Oryctolagus cuniculus: one gene and its partners. The protein of the gene in region 3 purifies or fractionates together with the protein of the main gene of each other region. This does not show direct contact. Links are inferred from orthologs where the notes say so. Each region holds a gene or a part of one and is shown on either strand. Other genes may lie near its edges. The genes, in order: PLCG1, LCK and KHDRBS1.

Region 1 (3,642 bases), on a different chromosome or scaffold from region 3:
GGACAGGATGACCGGGTACCTGCAGGACAGACGATGGGTGCAGGGACACAGACACTGCAATTCTGCTGATCCAGGGCTCAGTCCAAACAGCCCCTTACAGACTAAGATACTGGGAAACAAGGGCCTGAGGACCTTGTCTATGGAAAAGATAGACCACAACCACTGGCAAGTAGAAGGGGTTTTTCAGGGGGAAGCCTTGGGGTAGCAATAGCTGCACAGAAGTAGTTCCCAGTTAATCCAATTACACAGATTGCCCAGCAGTGCAGATATCCTACACTGAAGAGGTCAGAATAGGTAAGAGACCTCCTAATTTAGCTATCGGGGACCACTGGTGATTCCTTGAGTGAGGCGAGACACAAGTGACCACAGGTTAGGTGGTAAATAAGAATCTAGGAATGGGATACAGTGAATGTAGGTAATTCCCTAGGCTATGAAGTAAAGAAACTGGCAGGTCACTGGCATAAAGAGACCAGGGTTAACACTGAGAAGAGCTAAAATGTGTTCCTCAGGTTGAAGAGAAAGGCCAGGAACCATGTGGGCCAAGGATGCAGGAAACAGGAATTAACAGGAAAATAGAGCAAGGAGAGGAGGGCAGGCCAAGAGGAAGGAGAGGGGAGTGGGGATGGGTATGAGGGGGTCCCTCTGTCCCAGGAGTCAGAGTTAGGGGCCGGGTTCACCAGGAGGACCCCCTCTCCACTCACTCTGAGGCCACAAAGGCATGTTCCTTGATGGTATGCAGGACATCTGAGAACTTGATCTTGGTGGTAAGGGTGTGTCCATGGTAAATGACTGGCATCCCATCTGGGCCATCCCAGCAGTCCACTGGGAAGCAACATTATCACAGTCAAAGGGGCAGGCCTCGCACCTTCCCCCTCCCAGGTCCTGGCCCCCACGCACATTCAATGCAGCGACAGCCCATCCGCAGACACCGAGCATAGGCTTCCAGGGAGGACTCGCTGGAGAACTGGTCCCCAGTCAGGTACCTGGATAGGCAAGAAGTGGGTGTGGTCAGGTGGGCTCCTCTTCCTCGAGAGAGGGCAGAGTGGGGCTGAGGGAGCCACACTCACGTGTTGTGTGAGGATGAGATCCAATAGTGGGAGAGAGGGTTGTTCATGGTGTCTGGGCACACTGCATCCAGCTGGGAGTTCCACACACTGTTCTCTTTGGAGAACAGGAAGGTGACAAACTGTCCAAAACAAATGTGGAAGGGAAGACAAAGTGAGCCCCTGCCTGGCCCCGGGATGGTGAACAGGGGTGGAAGAGAGGTCACTCAGCCTCAGCTGGGGTGGTCAAGGTGGATTTCAGGTGTAACAAGGAGGAATCTCTGAGAAGCTGGCTCTTGGGGTTCAGTTGGGCTTCTGGTCACCACCACCCCCCGCCCTGACATAAAGAGATAACAGTGAAGCCCACCTCATCCAGGAAGAAGTATGGTTCCTCAATCTCTCGCAAGGGGTCCCGGAGAAAGCTGAGCATGAATTCCTGTACCTGGAGCCGGTCAATGGCCCATAGCTCCTGACAGGGAGGGGAACAAAGGGAAGGCATGGGAGAGGCCTCAGGTCAGGGATGAACCCAGCCCTGAAGCCTGATACCCTGGCCCAGCCCCAGCCCTGCCATACCCCCTGGTACTCAAGGAGGAACTGCTGGAACTCAGGAAGGGTCACTCGGCAAAGATCTGGTCGCTCCCCTGTCCTGCAGGGAGAGAAATGGTAAGTGCCTGGCAGCCAGTTGGCTAGCACTGCTAACAGCTAGGGGCCCCCTGGAAGGCAGAGGCCAACTCCCAGCCAGCATAGCTACCCAGAGTAGTCTAGCATGGCTCACCCTTTTCACATGGATTAGGAAGTACCCATGACAGAGATGAGGGAGGCCCAGGAAAGAACCCCACCTCCCCACTCCGAACCAAACCTCAGGGCGCTGGCTTCCAAGAAGGGGAGATCCATCTGCAGGAAACAGAACCTGGTCAGGGTGCAAGTCCTTGGGGGCCTCACAGGAAACGGCCTCTTAGGAAGAGAGGCTGGGGCAGCAAGGGACAGACCTCAGGAGAAGAAAGGCTAGAGAAATGGCACCCAAAAGCCCCCAAGCAGGGCAGCAGGGTTGAGGCAAGCAGGGCTGAGGATGGAGTGGAGAGGCAGGGCAGGGCAGGGGAGGGTAGGTGGCTCATGCACCGTCTTCTGGGCGCTGTACATGAGGCTGCGGTACAGCTGAGCAAACTGCCCGTAGGTGATGTCCCCACTGCGCTGCTCCAGGTCCTACACAGTACAGAGCAGGATGGCTAGTCAGGCACCCAGCCAAAGGCTTCTGGCCACCCTGGCCCCTCCCCTGCAGACAGCTCCAGGAGGTCCTTACCGTCAGCCGCTCCTTGAGGAAGCGCATGTTGGGGACCCGGTAGTTGACCTGGGACAGCATGTTCTTCAGGTCTTTGGCTGAAATACTGAGAAAACAGGTGTGTCCTCAGGGGCCTCTGATGTGTGGGCCAACCCACCTGGGGCTGGATAGGTAATCAGTACTACTCTGGGAATCTGGAATCCTGGGCACGAGACTGAATCAGAACCCACAAGGTGGACAAGGGAAGTCTCTTCCTTCTCTGGGCCTCAGTTGCCTCATATGAGCAAAGAAAATTCCATGATTCTGACAATGAGGAAGTGGCCAGGCTCAGTAAAACAGGTCAGGCCTAACAGGAGGGAAAAATCAAACCCCTGGCCTCCCCTCCTTGCAGTACTGCTGAAGCCTGTACCTCCAGCTCTCCAGGTGCCAGCTGGCCCCTGCAGGGCACAAGGGAGGGCTCACTGGCAAATTCCCTACAAGGGGTAGCTCAGCAGTGGGATGATGGGATGCTGGGAGTTTGCTCCTCGGAGCATATTATCCCCAAGCCCCATCAGCACCCAGTGCCACAGTGCAAGGAATATGGGAGGAGGGGATAGGCACACTCAGAGAAACTGCTGGTGACTGGGTACTTTCCTGGTGTCGGATGGGAAAGGAACTCTAGAGAGCAAGCATCCCTGCCCTCCAGGGTACCCTGTGCAGGATGGGAGAGCCAGGGGATATTGTTGGACCTGGCAACAGGATGGACAAGATGGGAGAAAAAGGATTTCTCTTCTGAAATGTGGAGATAGCCCGATAGGCAGCAGTAAAACCAGAGGGAACTCGGCTTCTCCACAGGGGTCCAGTATGGCTGAGCCTCATCTGACCCTCAGTCCCAAGAGGTAAAAGCTGTCAGGGTTTCGAGTTTCTGGTAAGGAACGAGATGCCTTCTTATCTAAAAGGCTTGTGCCACCAGAGCTTCCCTGTGGACTGTTCCCATCAGCATGTTAACCGTCTGTTGTCTCCCACCAAAAGACAGGTCTTGCCCTGCTTACCTCTCCCTGTTCCCCTCTGCGGTACAAACTTCCAGAAGTAGTTTCCCAAGCCCCCTTTCACGCCTGGAGCCCTCACCATTCTGCTGATGCTGCTCTCCCACCATGCTGTTTGACCCAAGGGTCATGTCACAGTCTTCCCTCAGGCTGCCAGAATTCAATACCATTTTCCTCTTACTAGCTCACACTAGCCGCCATTCATCCCCAATCTCTGAGATGGGCTGGCATCCCTGTTCTTGCCACTTGCCTCTGGGTGATCTTATCAGCTGCCACCATGGCTCTCCACAGCACC
Region 2 (3,642 bases), about 220 kb from region 3:
TTCGGGCTCCAGGCTGTTCGCTTTGGCCACGAAGTTGAAGGGGATGAAGCCTTCCTGGCCTGTGGTCAGGGACTGCGCCTTCCACCACTCCCCGTTCCTGTGCCACAGAGGCTATCAGCGCGGCCAGCCATGGACTCGCTGGAGACCCTTCTCACGACCCCCAGTCGCGCCGGGCCAGCGCCCCGGAGCTTCCCAAGGACGCCCACCCGGACCCAGTCAGGGGTCCACAGGAGGGATCCCCGCCCTTGCAGGATGTGTGGGTGGGGAGGGGGCACTCACTGCTCCAGGATACGGAGCTGTTCACCCTTCTCGAAGCCCAGGTCTCCGTCGTGAGAGGGCTCATAGCTGTGCAGGGCGATAACCAGGTTGTCTGTAAAGACAAGGGGGCTGGAGGCAGTGGCCTGGGACAGGCAGGGAGTAGGTACCGGAGTTCTGGAGTCACAGGGCAGGGGACAAGGAAGAGAGGGGCGGGACAGGGCAGAGGTGGGTGGGGAGGACTAGGGAGCCAAGGATCCACAGGTCTTATCTTCTAGGCCCCGCTGGTTTCCGTTACCTTGCAGTGGGGATGCCGGAGGGTTTGAACCTTCATAGGTGACCAGTGGGTCCCGAACCTCAGAGCCGTTCCGGATGGGCAGCTGTGGGGTGGGGGTAAGAGGGCAGAAGGCCGGGTCAGCCTCTGACTGCCTCCCCCTGCCTTGCTCGCCTCTGCTTCTCCAGTCTGGCACGGTCTCGCCCCTGAACTGGACAACCGCTTGCCTTGTGACCTTCGAAGAGTCCCTTCCCCTCTCTGGACCCCTCTGTTTCCGCATCCAGGCAGGGCCACCCTCTGATTTACAGGACCGACAATGGTGGTCCGTTTCTCCCTCTGCTGTGTGCTCCTCCCAACTCCCTCACCGCGGCCCCTGCCTGGCCTCTTACCGTGGCCTTGCCTTCCAGTGGGACTATGGGGTAGTGGCAGTTCTCACACACGTCGATGTTTTCCATCCAGTCATCTTCAGGGTTTGAGCTGCAGCTACAGCCCATGGTCCCTGGGAGAATGGAGAGGGGGTTGACAGGGCTCCCCCAGCGTCAGGCATTTCCCCAGGACCGTGAGATGCTCAGCTCCTGGGCCCCCATCCATCAGCTACAGAAAAGCTGAGACGGGGGACCCTCGCTCCTGACTGGGGGGGAGCCCCAGGGGCCACACGGAACAGCACGCACCCGAGGCTCCCCAGGCTGAGCCAGAGGCCCCGCCCTCCCACCTGGGATGGGCAAACTGCCACAGGCACCTTTGTTAGTCTAGTTACCCACTTCCTCCCTCTGCCGTTGGGGGACTACCTCCTGGAGATCACACAAACTCCCCGGAGCCCTGGGGGAGCCCTGGGTCCCCTACCACCCCCACCTCAAATACAATTGCCCTTGCAGGCAAGGAAGCTGAGCCTCTCTCCGCTCTCTCCCCGGTGTTGACAGGCAGGCCCTGCTTCCCCACACACCCACGCGGTCAGCCTCACAGAGTTCCTACACGAAAACCCTTCAGGGGCCCTGTTGGCCATAACTTGTTTTGTTTGTTTGCCTGTTACAGCAGTGGAAACTTTTGTCAGTTGAAAGCAAGCAGAACACCACAAATAAAGCCGGTCAGAGCCAGCGGATCTTCCTGCGGCAGGGCAGCGTGGCGGCCCCACTCCAAGGCCCCTAGGAGCCCTCAGGCCGCACCTTCCCTGCTCCTGAGAACCGCTTGGAAAACCCCAGGCCCTGCAGTGGGCGTGTGGAGAGATGGCTAAGCTGTTGCGTGGCACACTCGCTTCCCATATCAGAGTGCCTGGGTTCGAGTCCTGGCCCCACCGTCCACTCTAGCTTCCTGCTAATGTGCACCCTGGGAGACAGCAGATGACTCAGGCACCTGGGTCCCTGTCACTCACGTTGGGAGACCTGGATCGAGTTCCTGGCTCCTGGCTTCAGCCTGCCCAAGCCCTGGCTGTTGCAGGCATTTGGGGAATGAACCAGCAGGTGGAAGATCTCTTTGTGTCTCTCTCTGCCTCTGTCTCTTTTCCCCTATCTGCATCTTTTTTATAAATAAAATAATTTTTTTTTTGACAGGCAGAGTTAGACAGTGAGAGAGAGAGAGCAGAGAGAGGTCTTCCTTCCATTGGTTCACCCCCCAAATGGCAGCTACAGCTGGCCCCGTGTGCCAATCTGAAGCCAGGAGCCTGGTACTTCCTCCTGGTCTCCCATGCGGGTGCAGGGCCCAAGCACCTGGGCCATCCTCCACTGCCCTCCCGGGCCACAGCAGAGAGCTGGACTGGAAGAGGAGCAACCGGGACAGAATCCGACGCCCTGACCAGGACTAGAACCCGGAGTGCCAGTGCCGCAGGCAGAGTATTAGCCTAGTGAGCCATGGCGCTGGCAAAATTTTAAAAACTAGTCCTCAAAGTTTAATTTACTATGTATGCAAGACCCTTTAATACCAAGACCAAATCCACCTTCTCAGTTTGTTCTGCTATACACACACACACACACACGTCCTGTGTTCTGAACTACTCTTGCCTTTCCCAAATACCCAATGCTTCTTTCTTTCTCTCTCTCTTTCCTTCCTTCTTTCTTTCTTTAAAGACATATTTATTTATTTGAAAGTCAGAGTTACAGAAAGGAGAGGCAGATCCTCCATCTGCTGGTTCACTCCCCAGATGGCCACAACAACCAAAGCCAGGAGCCAGGAGCCCCATCCAGGTCTCCCGTGAGGGTGTAGGGGCCACAGCACTTGGGCCAGCTTTCCTGCTTTTCGCAGGCCATCAGCAGGGAGCTTGTTGGGAAGTGGAGCAGCCAGGACCTAAACCGGTGCCCATATGGGAGGCGGCGCTGCAAGGGGCAGCTTTACCTGCCACTGCCACAATGCCTCCCCCACCCCCGCTGCAATCTTTGTTCGAGTGCTGGTACCTTTGGTTCTGCTTGCCTTGGAATGCTCGGTTGTCTTCCTGCTGAATTCTAATTGGACCCTCCAGGTTCTCCCGGCCCTTGGCCTACTCTGTGAGGCCTTGCCCGGCTCTGCATTCTCCACTCGCCCCAGGCTCCTGTAAATCCTCAGACCACAGTCCTCAACTTGGGCCCTGAGTTCCATATGACTCGTTGATGGGTCAGCCCCACCCCTTAGATGAGGCTGGGTGGGGACTCACTTGCCTGAAAGCCCCCCCCCCCATACACATTCATCAATGCCAGTTGGCATGTGGAGGGTTAAACTCACAAAGGTCTTAGAAGCCATCCAGCGGCTGGCGCCGCGGCACACTAGGCTAATCCTCCACCTTGTGGCGCCGGCACACCAGGTTCTAGTCCCAGTCGCCAGCCGCGGCGGCCATTGGAGGGTGAACCAACGGCAAAGGAAGACCTTTCTCTCTGTCTCTCTCTCTCTCACTGTCCACTCTGCCTGTCAAAAAAAAAAAAAAAAAAAAAAAAAAAGCCATCCAGCCTAACATCTGTTTTTATTTGAGCAACCCTAGGCCAGAGAGGCCTGCCTAAGGTCACACAACCTGTGTGGGGAGAGCAGAACCGGAGCTGCTAACCCGTCCAGGATCTAAGTGGAGGGAGGGAGCGCTGGAAGTTTCTGGTCAGCGAGAATCAGGAGATAGGCCCAGAGTTGGAGAGACTGAAGTTCAAATGCCTGCTCTGACA
Region 3 (4,100 bases):
GCCCAAGTGCTTGGGCTCCTGCACCCCCATGGGAGACCAGGAGGAGACTCCTGGCTCCTGATTGGCGTAGCTCTAGCCGTTTCAGCCATTTGGAGAGTGAACCAATGGAAGGAAGACTTTTCTCTCTGTCTCTCTCACTGTCTGTAAACTCTACATGTCAAATAAATTAAAAAAAAAAAAAAAAGAATAACTTCTAGTGTTGTCATGAATATGTAAAGTGCTCTAATCCAGGGCCTGACACAACGTTAGCTGTTTTTCTAATATATGTTCTCAGGGATTAAACACTATTCTTTCTTCTCAGTCTCATTTCCTTATGATTGGTTGACTTCACTGTAATCTCTTCTCTAGAAATACCTTAAGAACCATATCCAACAAACATTAAGACTTTTCTATGCTAAGAAGTATCCACACAACCCAATTTTGTTCTCAATATTTCCATCCTCTTTAGGTTAAAAAAAAAAGGCATTAAAAAAGCCCAAGTTTGAAAAAAAATAAGGAGCAGTGAGAGAATGAAAAATATAAATAATCTTTAAGGATCAATGATTTTTAATGGTTATCCTAAGAAACTATCTTAAAAGATGAACATCACGCTGGGCAATGGAGATAGTCAGAAGGGCAAAATATATCTTAAGTTCTCATACCTTGTTCATTACCATGGATTCACAACCAGAAAAAAATTGTGGTGACAGCTTCTTCTAGCTAATGATACAGATCAAAAGAAACTGCTGGTGATTTTACAGATCATTTAATCTTCCAAACTTACCATCCACTTTACAAATGAGGTTACTGAGGTTCAGAAAGCTTCCCCAGAGCCGGTAACTAATTAAGGGCCAGCGCTGAGAACCAAGTCAACACCTTTAGGCTCTAAAGTGTACTTTATTCTCCTGCGTTTAATGCAATGCGTACTGCCTGAAGATTTGAGAAAATTAAAAATCCGACTGCTAAACCAAACTTTACCAATTAGTCTGACATTCCTGAGTTTGCATGTGTACATTTTCAAACACCTGGAGTTTGCTATGTCCAGCACAGTACCAAAAAACATGTTTAAATATAAAAAGCAATTCTTGCTCTCAAAGAGCCTGTCAGAAGAAAACAGGAAAAGTAGAATGTGGTTATATAGGACAGCACAGAACTGAGTTAAAGATCTTAAGCAATTTATCGAAATTTTCTAATTGTTTATTGCGTTAAAAAAAAAAAAAAACCCTTACCAGTGTTGGGAGAGAGAACAAAGGGAAGGAAATGAGATTTTCATAATGAACTGTCAATGAACTGTCCCTTGTATCAATCTTGTCAATGGCTCCGACTTCTCATTCAGCGTCGAAGGCCATGAACTGTTACTCTACCATTTAGGTATAATAAATATTTCTTTGAAAAACATTTCTAACTATAAGAAAAGGTCAAAAAGAGGCTGCAGTGAGAAATCAGAGCGATTAGGGAGGGGGTCAGGGCTGCCGAGGGAAGAAGCTCCCGTCCGCGGAGAACAAAGACTACCATTCCCATCTATCTCGCCACGGAAGCAAGAATGAACACAAAAGGCCAAGTCTTCCAGGTGCAGGCACCGAGCAACTTCTCTCCACGGTCCGTCCCTCGCGGTGGGGCCCGTCCTGGGAGCTCCCCTGCAGCCCTTACCGCCTCCCGTCATCTCATTTCACTGTCCCCAGGGCTGCTTCCCCGCTTCTTGAATGACGGTTGAAAGCACGTTGTAAAATAAAACGGCGACAACCTTCCGGCTCTGCACAATCCTCATTTCACCTGCCCGATTCGGACATCTGATTCGGAAAACCTCAAGCTCCGACTCCCACGAGTCGCTGTGCCTCGGCGCAACTCCAGCTCCCGTGACGGCCAAGTGCGGCCGGGCCCGCGAGACGCCCGCGCGCCGGCCAGGGCCCTCCGGCCTCCCACGATCCCCGCCGGCTCGGGCTGCCTGCAGCGCCGACACCCACGGCCGAGGCGCTCCCCGCCACCCAAGAGCCTTCCCCTCGGGGGGGACGCGGGAGATACGGGCTCATTTCTGGAAGAATCTGAGCACTCGGAGCGCGGGGCAGCTGCGAGAGGAGGGAGGGGGAGGGTCGGGAAGGGGGCGGGGAGCTCGGCGCTCGGAGATCTCCCAGTCGCTTTCGGGCGCCCGCAGCAACCCTGCGCCGGGGTGGGAAGGCGGGCTTCAGGCCCCCGAAGACGAGGGCCAGAGGGGGAGCTCCCGACCGCCACGGTCCCGAGGGACTGGGATGCCAGAGGAACAAAGCCGCTGCCAACCTCCTCCCGCACCCCTCCCGCCCCGGTGGTCCAGCGACCCCGAGGGACCCCGAGGCCCGCTCACCTGCAGTCAGCAGCTGCATGGCATGAGTGAAGGACGGGTCGAGCGAGTCCTTCTCGGCCATGAGTTCGGGCAGGTACTTGTTCTCAGGCTCCATCTTGACCGAGGCCGTGGCTGATGGGGGCAGCAGCGGGGTCGGCGCCGGACCACCCACCGTCGCGTCGGGACCCGTGGCCGAGGGCGGCAGCAGTGGCGGCGGCTGCGTGGCGGGCGAGGCCCGGGCGCCCCCCCGGGGCCCTCCTCCGCCTCCCCGGGACCGGTGAGGCAGCGGCGGTTGCCGAGACGGCGTCTGACGCACCGAGGGGTGGGCACCCGAGGGGTCCATGGAGCCACTGCGGCCCGAGGACCGGGTCATGCGCGCGGCGGGGTCGTCCCGGCGCTGCATCGCGGAGGATGTGCGATCGAGCGATCGAGGGGACCGACGCGGCCGAGGCCCGGGCGGCGGTTGGCGGCGGCGGTGGTAGAGCGGGAGCAACAGCGACCGAAGCCGACCCGAGCGACCCAGCCAGAGAGAGCACCGGAAATGAGGCAGCGCGCGTGCGCACCAAATCCCGGCACCGCCCTTGGGTTTCTCCGCGAAGAACAAAGTCCCCAGTCGGGCCACGGCGCCTGCGCACTGCCGTGGTGCCCGAACCGGAGGCCTCCCCCCTCCTCTTTTCCCTCGGAGCCCGCCAGGCCGGAGCTTGGCGCGCGTGCGCGGACGGCCGCGGGCTCCGTTCGTTTTTTCTCCCACGTGACTCGGCGCTAGCGGGACACGTGTCTCCTCCCCCTTCGGACCGGGTGCGCGGAGGGGGCGGGGGCTGTGGAATGTCTTTGTCTGAGCGCGGGCCGGCGGCGAGCGTGGGGCGGAGGTGGGGGGGAGACCTGTTACTCGTGGGCCACGCCCCCTCCAACGGCCGAGCCGCGGAGCCGGGCGGGGGGTGTGGGCCGGCCACCGGCGTGAAGACGTGCTGGCTGCGTGGGGCACGCGGGGAGGGAGGCGCAGGGAGAGGCTGACGCCGGGATGCGTGGTGGCGCTGGGGACGGCCGGCTGACTGGGAGACTTGAACTGAGAGGGCGGAGACCTGAAGCGTAGCAGGGAGCCCCGTGCTGTCCCGAGGTTTCCCGCACACTAGGTTCTGACACGCTAGCCGTGGTTAGTCGGGGAAGTCCGTCCGTGTCGCAGCCTGCTTCCCGCTTGAAGCGGTTATTTCGCGGAGTGAGCAGAGGCCGGGTCTCAGGCGGCCGTGCTGAGGCGAGGGCCTTGGGCAGCGGATCTCTCGCCCGAGGCCGGCTCGGGTCTGGGAGCTGCGTGCGGGGGAGCCCGGGTCTCTACTATCAGTCATCGAACGCCTGGCGCGTCTCTAACTTTCCCTTCCGGCCGCAGGTTTTTTTTTTTTTTTTTTTTCTTCACCCATTCAGAGTACTCCTTCCATCCCTTTTCCTTCCGGATCTGTTTCCTAAATGAGCTCGCGACTTTCAAAAGCGTCTCTGGAAACTGCCTGCTGGGTGCTTGGAAACGTGATTTCTGGATTTGAAGCTCAGACCCCTTTAATGAGGGAACATAAAGGCTTGGCTACGTTTTTTTACTAAAATGAGAACAAAACGCTAATATCCATAAATTATACGTATAAAGTACAAAATACATAAAAAATTTTGTACAGATTATGGGTTATATAAATAAAAATACATGAGGGTATGTCAAAAAGTTCATGGGAACAAATCTGGTGCAAAACAATTTCGAGATCCTTGTAATGTTGCATTTTTAAAGACTTTTTGCATAGATTTCGAAATTTTTTGTACCTAC

The links.
Region 1: the proteins of KHDRBS1 (region 3) and PLCG1 purify together in Homo sapiens (affinity purification with western blotting; 7 studies listed by BioGRID and IntAct, with this or other methods). This does not show direct contact. The link is inferred for Oryctolagus cuniculus from reciprocal best matches to the Homo sapiens genes KHDRBS1 and PLCG1.
Region 2: the proteins of KHDRBS1 (region 3) and LCK purify together in Homo sapiens (affinity purification with western blotting; 5 studies listed by BioGRID and IntAct, with this or other methods). This does not show direct contact. The link is inferred for Oryctolagus cuniculus from reciprocal best matches to the Homo sapiens genes KHDRBS1 and LCK.

What each region holds. Positions count from the first base shown.
Region 1 is NC_091442.1:17,778,206-17,781,847, forward strand, and holds part of PLCG1 (1-phosphatidylinositol 4,5-bisphosphate phosphodiesterase gamma-1), read right to left. Parts: intron 2,429-3,642; coding exon 2,344-2,428; intron 2,247-2,343; coding exon 2,163-2,246; intron 1,938-2,162; coding exon 1,903-1,937; intron 1,690-1,902; coding exon 1,617-1,689; intron 1,513-1,616; coding exon 1,411-1,512; intron 1,187-1,410; coding exon 1,068-1,186; intron 984-1,067; coding exon 898-983; intron 823-897; coding exon 702-822; intron 20-701; coding exon 1-19. UniProt on the Homo sapiens protein: Mediates the production of the second messenger molecules diacylglycerol (DAG) and inositol 1,4,5-trisphosphate (IP3). Plays an important role in the regulation of intracellular signaling cascades.
Region 2 is NC_091438.1:140,199,574-140,203,215, forward strand, and holds part of LCK (tyrosine-protein kinase Lck), read right to left. Parts: intron 1,029-3,642; 5' UTR 1,024-1,028; coding exon 919-1,023; intron 636-918; coding exon 554-635; intron 371-553; coding exon 280-370; intron 98-279; coding exon 1-97. UniProt on the Homo sapiens protein: Non-receptor tyrosine-protein kinase that plays an essential role in the selection and maturation of developing T-cells in the thymus and in the function of mature T-cells. Plays a key role in T-cell antigen receptor (TCR)-linked signal transduction pathways.
Region 3 is NC_091438.1:140,421,198-140,425,297, forward strand, and holds the start of KHDRBS1 (KH domain-containing, RNA-binding, signal transduction-associated protein 1), read right to left. Parts: upstream 2,921-4,100; 5' UTR 2,700-2,920; coding exon 2,318-2,699; intron 1-2,317. UniProt on the Homo sapiens protein: Recruited and tyrosine phosphorylated by several receptor systems, for example the T-cell, leptin and insulin receptors. Once phosphorylated, functions as an adapter protein in signal transduction cascades by binding to SH2 and SH3 domain-containing proteins.